2 linked regions of the Mus musculus genome follow. The protein of the gene in region 1 purifies or fractionates together with the protein of each later gene. This does not show direct contact. Links are inferred from orthologs where the notes say so. Each region holds a gene or a part of one and is shown in the gene's direction. Other genes may lie near its edges.

Region 1 (4,226 bases):
CATCCCCTCTATTGACCCAAGTGACCTCCCCCGTGTCCCCCAAATTCACCTCCTGCCTGCCAACCCCTCTCCTGATCCATCTCTTTAAATCCCACCAGCCTTTATCCTGAGAAGGAAAAGGAAGCGAATGACTGACCCCGCCAGGAGGTAAAGTAGCAAATGCCCGCCCTTCCGCTATAAGCTTTACACTGTCCTCTGTCACGTGGGGTGGGCCTTGGTGCCATCTCTCTTGGTTGAAATACTGCCCAAGTCTGGAAGCCACCTTCAAAATCACCTCCCTTGGCATGGTCCCAAACTCTTTGGGTAGGCATCCCTACACACTTAACTCCCAGAATAGACTGCAGCTGGGCATCCCTACATGGTTGAGCCTTAAGGTACACCAACCCTTTCTCCCTCCAGATTCTTCAAAGTGACGCCTCCCTCGGGAAACGGGACCCAGAACCAGTACGGGAATGTGCTCTCCCTTCCTACATCTACCTCTGGCCAGGGTGAGGGACCACTGCCTTGAAAGGCTTTCAAGTCGCACCCTTCTCTCCGGCACTAGCCAGCTATGCCTTGTCCTCATTTCTCCAATCTTCTCAGAGCAGAACCTTCCCCAGAGCAGAGCCCAGGACCAAATCTCAACAGATCAGCCAAGTCTAGCCACTGGACCTTGGCCAGAGCCAGCCTTGTCCTAGAACTTGAGGCCAAGGCTCAGATTTTGATCCCTTCCCCATGGCTCAAGGCCGGTTATGCAGGCACACAGAGGCTTTCTGAAGCATTGTCTCCTTTCCCTCTGATGGGCATCTTAAATCTCTCTTTTCACCAGCCCATGCTCAGCGTTGGGCTGCTGGCCTAGGGAGTGTCCCTGGGTCCTATGGAAATCCACGCATTCAAGTCCAGGATACTGGAGCTCAGAGCCATGAAACAGGTCAGATTTAAGGGTTGTTCCTCACCTTGAGAGTGTCGGAGCAGCCTGTGGTGGGATTAGTGGACTGTGGGTGGAGGAAGAGAGATACCGCTCAGCTCTCCACACTGGTCCCAAATTCAGGACTGGAAGAAGAAGGGGAGGCCTATGAAGAGCCAGACAGCGAGGAGGGCTCTGAATTCTATGAGAACGACTCCAACCTTGGGCAGGACCAGGTTTCCCAGGGTGAGTCCCCATTCTCCCTGGTCCTGACACTTCAACAGTAGGCTGATGGCTGACAACCTTTGCTAAAGATGCCCTCATTCTCTAACAGATGGGAGTGGCTATGAGAACCCCGAGGATGAGCCCATGGGTCCAGAGGAAGAAGACTCCTTCTCCAATGGTAATGTGGTGTCCTTGTAGGGTTGGTGGCTAGGAAAACGTGCTTGGTGCTGCAGGGCTCCTACTGCCTGAGCAACTCCTGCGCTCTCTCTTCCACAGCTGAGTCTTATGAAAATGCAGATGAGGAGCTGGCCCAACCAGTTGGCAGGATGATGGGTGTGTATTTGAGTGAGCGAGGGCTGTCACTCTTGGAAGAAGCTGGAGACCAGGAAAAAAAGTGATATCTTTGTCTCTTTTCTTGTTCCAGACTTCCTGAGCCCCCATGGGTCTGCGTGGGACCCCAGCCGGGAAGCATCCTCGCTTGGTGAGAGTGCTTAGGGCATCCTTCTAGGGTCAATTTCAGATGATATAAACTCAGCTCTGATCTCCAAGTCCAAGCCTAACAGTGGTCTTAGACCTTATTCCCAACTCCACCTCTATCCCGTTTCCCCGTGTTTCTGCCATTTCTAACCTTGAAGACCAATCTTGACCCAAAATGAACCTGACATAACTGTTCATGTCTAGAATTCCAACTTGTGGGAAAGTTAAGGCAGAAAGATGGTCATGGGCTTAAGGCTAGTCTGGGGTACTTTGTGAATTCCAGGCTAGCCTAGGCTGAAGCTTTGTAACAAAAAATGTAACGAAACACACTCAGCCAACCGACTGAAGCATTGACCTCAATACCTTCTCTCTTAGAGTTTGGCCTTCACCTCACCCCAGTTTAAAGTGGACTTCAACCTTGACCCCAACTGTCTGTATCATTTCCTGTGAGCTTGACTTTGACTCCTCCCAATTCTGTTCTTGACCCTTCCTTTGGCCTTGGCCATCTTAGAACCAAGTAGGATCTTGATGCTGACAAATCAGTCCTAGTTTGACATTAGGAACTTCGACTTCTTGCCTAGCTCCTCTCCCGTGGGTAGGCAGGACTTCCCTTCCCCCAAGCCCCAGCAGAATTTCTGGGTCTCTAATCTTCCATCCCATGCCTAAACAGGGTCCCAGTCCTATGAAGATATGAGAGGGATCCTCTATGCAGCTCCTCAGCTCCACTCAATTCAGTCCGGTCCCAGTCATGAAGAAGGTGGGTGTTTCTGCACTGTTTCTCGTTGTCCTCTGGACACCCCCCTCCCCCTCCCTCCCCCACTCTACCCCAGCATCCTTTTCATCCAATTTACACTTTCCTTTTCCTGGTCTTATCCAGATGCAGACTCTTATGAAAACATGGATAAGTCTGACGACCTAGAACCAGCATGGGAAGGAGAGGGCCACATGGGGACTTGGGGAACCACGTGACTCCCAAGTGACTAGGTGAGCTGGACGCTGCCCCTGGGAGAGGGGAGGAAGAGAGGGATAAATGAGGATGGTAATGCAGCCCTGGCTGCTGGGGAGAGAAAGGGGAAGGGTTTTCTGGGTCCAGTGGATAGGGCCTAGACGTCATCTCATACTTTGCTTGTTTGTTTGTTTTTTTATGTAGCCTGGACTTCGTTAGGTCCCAAGAACCACATCTGATTCTGAAATCTGGAGATCCCAGATGGTGTCAGTCAGTGAAATGACCTTGATCAGGATGTGTGCATGCTGACACACACACACTCATATGCATGTTCAAGCAAAGCTTCCTTTTGACCCTTTGCTTTCCCCAAATAAACCCAATTAGCCACTCAAATTCTCTGAAGCCGGCCCTTGTGTGGGATAGGAAGGGAAGATGGGGTTGAATCCAGCCCTGAGTCACCCAGAGGAAGGAGAACTGAGGTCTGAGTACATCCTGGCTCTAGCCTTCCCATGGCCTGGCATTTAGCCACCTAACATCCAGTGATGCAAATATGTCCAGCCGCTACATTCCATGGTGTCCCACAAGGGAGAGACAGTGATGGGACTAGCAGACTGTTTGGTTGTAACCCATCCCTGCTCACCCTGCACAAACTGGGAAACACTGTCTGCCTCTCTTTTAATCCTGCCTGCTCCAGGCTAACAGGCCAGTACCCTCACCTTCGAGTTTCTGGCAACACTACCTGAGTGCCTGCTCAGGGGGTTCAGCTTCTGACCATATGTAGACACCACCCCAGCTCTGAGTTTACACATCATCACCCCTTGCCTAAGACCTGAAACCCCCCTTTACCTTCGCCCAGGTGTGCCATTTCCCTGCTCCCTCCTGCATCCTTGGGACCTGTGAACCTACTCAAGTGCTGCTCTCAATAAATCTGCCTTTATACTTTCTAATTCGGCTTGAATTGGCTTGTTTCTTTGGATGCTGAGAACCTGGGAGGAATTGAGCCTAAAGCCCCTTGTGCTGGGCCCCTGGCCTTCTGGGAACTGCTCCCTTCCCCTCTTCTCATTCGTTTTCCAAGCCCCACATGCCACTTCCCTGAATTCTTGTAGGATGATTTTTCTCAAATTCTTTCCTGGTCGTGCCCATCTCCCCGATGCCTTTACTGGACTGTGATATCCTTAGCCGCTTTGGGACCACAGAAAGGACTCCATAATCCCTGGATCCCATAATCTCTCCTGACTCCCATCTTCGTCTTCCTCTGGTTGCCTCACAGGTCACCACCTGAGACTGTGCTGTCCTCACCCTACCAGATCTTGTCAACCCCCAAGTATGGGATATTTCCACCCCGGTGGTTGCTACTTACCCCGAGACGGTCCTGGTCCACCTCAAGGACCCCTCATCCTTCCATCCTAGCTTCCCATTTCTGAAACCCATCGCTGCAGTCTCAAGCCCATCACTAGCTGCCTCCTGTCTCAGGAACTTCTAATGCAGCACTCCCATTCTCCCAGTGAATAAGCCTAACACCTAGTACAGAATCTTTACCTCGTTACTGAAGTAGTAATCCCAACCCACCCATGGTTACCAACTCTACACCCTTGTCTTAGCTAGGGTTTTACTGACACCATGACCAAGGCAACTCTTATAAGGACAACATTTAATTGGGCCTGGCTTACAAGGTTCAGCAGCTGGGACACA
Region 2 (4,545 bases), about 17 Mb from region 1:
CATAAACAAAACAGCTGGCCCTGCATGACGTTCAATGTGTAACCCCACTTTAGGCATGAGGTATCCCCATCACTGGAGACAGTGGAGATCTGAAGAGAAAGCAGGTCCCCATCTCTGCACGTGCAAGAACTATTCTTGCCCACTTTTAAATAAAAAGAATCCTAAGAGACTCCCTCCTGGAGACTCAAATGACTTTTAGTGTGATATTACTCCAGCATTTGGTGACTAGTGTTACTTTTGTTGTGACACCACTTCAGCCTCCAAGAACTATAAATGTGGACACAATCCTTCACTGTAGCAGCTATACCAGCCTGAAGCCAAAACAAATGCACAAATTAACTCTCAAGAAGCCTACTAGCCTAGCCGAGTAGAGATAGCTCCACCCAGGCAGCTACTGGCCAATCATCAGGTTTACATGTAAATTATACATAGTTCAAATTTTCGCCCTTTAGACAACTGGGCATGGTGTCCTAAACCTACAGTCTCAGCACTTAGGAAGCAAAAGTAGACAGAGCTCTGTTCCAGGAACCAGGGCTACATTGTGAGATTCTCATTCTCTGTCTGTCTGTCTGTCTCTGTCTGTCTGTCTCTCTCTCCACATATATATTATAGATATTCCTTTCCTTTGTTTAAATATATATGTATATCTATTCCTTTTTAAACATATTTCCAGTGTCCTGTAGCCAGAGGGGTGCCAGGTGTGATCTCCATAGGGAACAATGTCCTTAACTGCTCAAAGATTTAAGAACATGGAGTGACCTGGAAAAGGCTGAGTCTTGGGAACTGGTCCTTCCATGGTTCCCAGTGAGTCTAATGAAGCAGCCCCATTGCCCTTCAGTTTGGGGAAGGGAATGCCAAGATTTCACAGGAATATCATCTATGATGACAGCAGCCATTCCTCACCCGGGAAGGAAGCACCTCTGCCCTCTGAATCTTTCCTCACTTCCTTATTAATCCCAGCTTTCAGGGAACCAGCTAGAGGATGGAGGATGGACTCTTGGAAGGCACAGCCAGGATGGCATGAATATTTGAAGGTGCCCCTGAGGGTTCTCGAGCCTAAAGACTGGCTAAAGACATTGGGTACACTATTGACCTTCCCAAATGCAGCCTCCAGAACTGCAGCCAGGAACTCTATCTGTGAGATAGGGGATTAGCAAGGCTACAAAGAATTCCATTCTAGACCTTCAGGCCCACGGAGTTGCTGCCTGGGAGATCAATATACACAAAACATGTTAACTTTTAAGACTCTTTACTGTCGAGACACCTCCACTAGGGTACCCTCCGGGAAAGTCCAAGGCGTCCGAGTACCGGAGGAAGTAAGTGTGGCTTCTTTGGGGCAGTATCTTGTGGCCAGTTCTTAGTCGCGACCCAGAAGCCTGCCCCGAGGGTTGGGAACCCTTAAGAAACTTGGAGATTCATCCTGCGCACGCACAGTGCACCGAGTCCCCAAGAACCAGCTGCACCAAGTTCCAGAACGCTTACTCTGGGACTGAGGTGGCAGCACCCACCCAAGTACCCCTGGTCCGGGCACCCCGCGGGCGGAAGGCGGGGCCAGGGGTGGAGCGTCCTCTGGGCGGGGCCTCGGAGGGGCGGGACCTAGAGGTCTATAAAGAGTGAGGAGCTAGGCGCGCGCGCCCGGTCCGAGCGAGCGCGTCCTTGCTTCAAAGAGATAGTGACTCTCGCGCCTCCGGCTAGGCCTCCAGCCCTTCTCTACCCTACGTCTCATTCTCCGCAACGCAGTTCTCCGGCCCGCAAGCGCTCCAGGCTATCTGCCAGTCCCGGACCCCGGTACTGCGTCCCCATACCGCCCGCTCCAGGACCAATCCAAGCTCCGCAGGCCGCGCACCGCCATGGGGGTGGAGGGCTGCACCAAATGCATCAAATACCTGCTCTTCGTCTTCAATTTCGTCTTCTGGGTGAGCAGCCACTGGGGACAGGGCGCACCCCACGGTAGCCAGGCTGGGCAGCGCGCTAGGCCCTGCTGAGAAGGCGCAGCGCAACCGCGAAGTTGCGGCGCCACCTGTGGGCTCCGTGCGCCGATCGGGGTCCTGGCGCCCCTCGCCAGCGGGTTGAGGCCGAGGGCTGAGCTTCTGGGCCTCGGCTCGAGGGGCTTCTGGGGCCGGGAAATCAGGGGATCGCTGGCCTGTCCCCTCTGAGTGCTGGGAACTGGTGCAAGAGTCTGCGGGCTAGAGCCAGGTAATCAAGAGCCCTCAGCTATGAAGGGGGTACTCGCACCCTCCTGAATGTTGTTTTGGGGACCATCCTGCATCGCGAGCAGTGAGGGGGGTCGAGAAGGGCGGGATCTTGGCGCCCCGCCCCCATGAGCTCATCCTAGCCACCGCCCCTGGATAGGCGGCCTCGAAGTGGTGGGGGCACGCTCCGTACTTGCCTCGGAGACCTCAACCCCACTATTACTCCACCCTTGCTTACCCTCCAGCTTGGTATTGCCACCCTGGGGGCTCGAGCTCCAGGCCTAGAAGGCAGGGCAGCCCGGGCCGCGTGCTGCTGCGCACGGTGCCCCAGTTCTTGGCCACCCCCACCCCCATTCCCCCAGCTGCCCCTCCTCCTTGCCTGTCGTCTCCTGCACAGATTACAGCCCCGGCCTGACCCTTAGATCCTGAGAGGAAGAGGGTATGCAGTTCTGAGTTGGTGAAGGCCAGGGTGTTGCAAAGATCTGGGATCTGTACAAACCAGGAGCTTAGGATCTTTTCCTATATACAGGATCTAAGCTGGGCTCTCCACTTTGGAAAGAAGTGCACACCCATTTGGTCATCTTGGAAAGGAGACATGGGTATAAGAGGGTCTCCAAGTGTCCCTGGGTCCTGACTGTCTTCACTGCTGGGGAGTAGCCATTGGTGGTATGGGCTTCTTTCCATTTCCTAACTGGGTTGGGAATGGGGAGTCTTAACAGACCTGCCTGCGGGCACTTGAGTGAGCAGTGCTGGCCACTCCTCTGGACAGTGGTGCCACCCTCCCTGCTGCAGTGCACAGACTGCTGTTCCCACCACCCTCCTTCCCAGGAAGAAATGAGGTTATGCCAAGACAATGTTTCTCTAAAGTTGTTCCTGAGAGGGCAAACTTGTACAACGGCCCCTGGAGTGAGTGTGTTGGACAGGGGACACCTGTTTTCCATCGAGGACTGCTGAAGATCCCAGGGCGGGTCAGGGTGGGGTGGAGGGGAATAAGACGTTGGGGATGGGCAGGAACTGGGCTGAACTCAGCTGGGGCTATGTATGCTCACGCGGTGCTGCAGGGACCAAGATTGTCAGTCACGGTGACTCCAGAGAACACATTCTAGGGAGCAGCATGGGCGATGGGGTTAAACTTGCTCTGCCCGGGCATGCCTTGGGGTCTCGACTGGGTAGTCATGTTGGACAGTGCTTGCCTACTCTGAACCATGCAAGGAATTGAATGCACCCTCAAGAAGTGTGTTATCCACCCCACCCCACCCCCATTATTCTTCAGATGTGGGATGTCAGGATCCTGTAGGGTATTTCTTTCTTTCTTTTTTTTCTTTTTTTGCTCACCCACCTGATCCAAGCGCTAGACCCTCAGACTCCCTGGAGTGCTGAGGCTGGGTGAAGCTGCTCGTTTCCCAGGCAGCTGGGGTGGAGTCCCAACATGTCCCTGGGGTCTCTATTGAGGCTCCAGGAAACGGTTCTGAAGCCTCTCCCTGCTCCCAGGGACCTGCCTACTGACTGCAGAACAGTGAAAACTGTAGCCTTTCACAATCCCACAGACCTCTCCTCCCTACTCATGTTGGCCCCACAGTGGATAGGGATGTGGAGCAGAACCAGGCTACAACTGGTGGACACCACCCTGGCAGAGGGACTCCTTTTGTCCCTCGTGTGGCAAGGTTTGTACTGTGGCTGATAGTTCCCTGATATCATGAAATTGAACCTTTGGGGAGCCCCACCCCACCACTCTGGCCCTTAGTCTTCACTTCCTCCCTCTAAAGTGGGAGTTCTTGGGGGTCTCTGTCTCCTAGGATTGTGTGTAGACTAGCTAATGTACTCCAGAGTGGGGCAAGGGGCTTGGAGCAGAGAAGGCTCAGGAAATGGACACTGGACACAGTCTCCAAAAGGGAGTGGGGCCAAAGGAAGCTGAGCAATGATGTCAGAAGGGCCTAAGGAGGGGGCTGAGAGGTCCTTTGGGCCGTGGTGGGGGCGGGGGCTAAGAGCTCTAAGAAGGGAGATTTGGTTGACAGTAAATGTTTCGATGGACACTTTTTAAAATTTCCAGTTTGAAGATTAAAGTGGTTTCTCTGTGGGAGGGGACATTCCGGGCACACTAACCTGCCTGCTGTCACTCCCACCAGTCCTCCTTGGGCTTGAGTTCAGAACCTATATTGGGGCCAGCAGAGTTCTGGACTCCCAAGATATATGGGGCAGGACACAAACCTGAAAGATGAGCGGTGAGCAGCAGAGACCATGTAAGATGCTCTTAGAAGCAGGGTGGTTACTCATCCCCTGAGACAGGTCTGGGATTAAGGGTCCAGTCTCCTCTGGCAATAGTCACCGGCTGGCAATAGGGCAGGAGAGCAGG

The links.
Region 2: the proteins of Cd19 (region 1) and Cd81 purify together in Homo sapiens (affinity purification with western blotting, with the first as the bait; 3 studies listed by BioGRID). This does not show direct contact. The link is inferred for Mus musculus from reciprocal best matches to the Homo sapiens genes CD19 and CD81.

What each region holds. Positions count from the first base shown.
Region 1 is NC_000073.6:126,407,703-126,411,928, reverse strand, and holds the end of Cd19 (B-lymphocyte antigen CD19 isoform 1 precursor), read left to right. Parts: intron 1-98; coding exon 99-147; intron 148-399; coding exon 400-488; intron 489-808; coding exon 809-910; intron 911-1,030; coding exon 1,031-1,132; intron 1,133-1,220; coding exon 1,221-1,289; intron 1,290-1,387; coding exon 1,388-1,444; intron 1,445-1,535; coding exon 1,536-1,592; intron 1,593-2,258; coding exon 2,259-2,345; intron 2,346-2,465; coding exon 2,466-2,557; 3' UTR 2,558-2,572; intron 2,573-2,738; 3' UTR 2,739-3,481; downstream 3,482-4,226. UniProt on the Homo sapiens protein: Functions as a coreceptor for the B-cell antigen receptor complex (BCR) on B-lymphocytes. Decreases the threshold for activation of downstream signaling pathways and for triggering B-cell responses to antigens.
Region 2 is NC_000073.6:143,051,151-143,055,695, forward strand, and holds the start of Cd81 (CD81 antigen), read left to right. Parts: upstream 1-1,599; 5' UTR 1,600-1,850; coding exon 1,851-1,916; exon of another isoform or gene 1,917-2,536; intron 2,537-4,545. UniProt on the Homo sapiens protein: Structural component of specialized membrane microdomains known as tetraspanin-enriched microdomains (TERMs), which act as platforms for receptor clustering and signaling.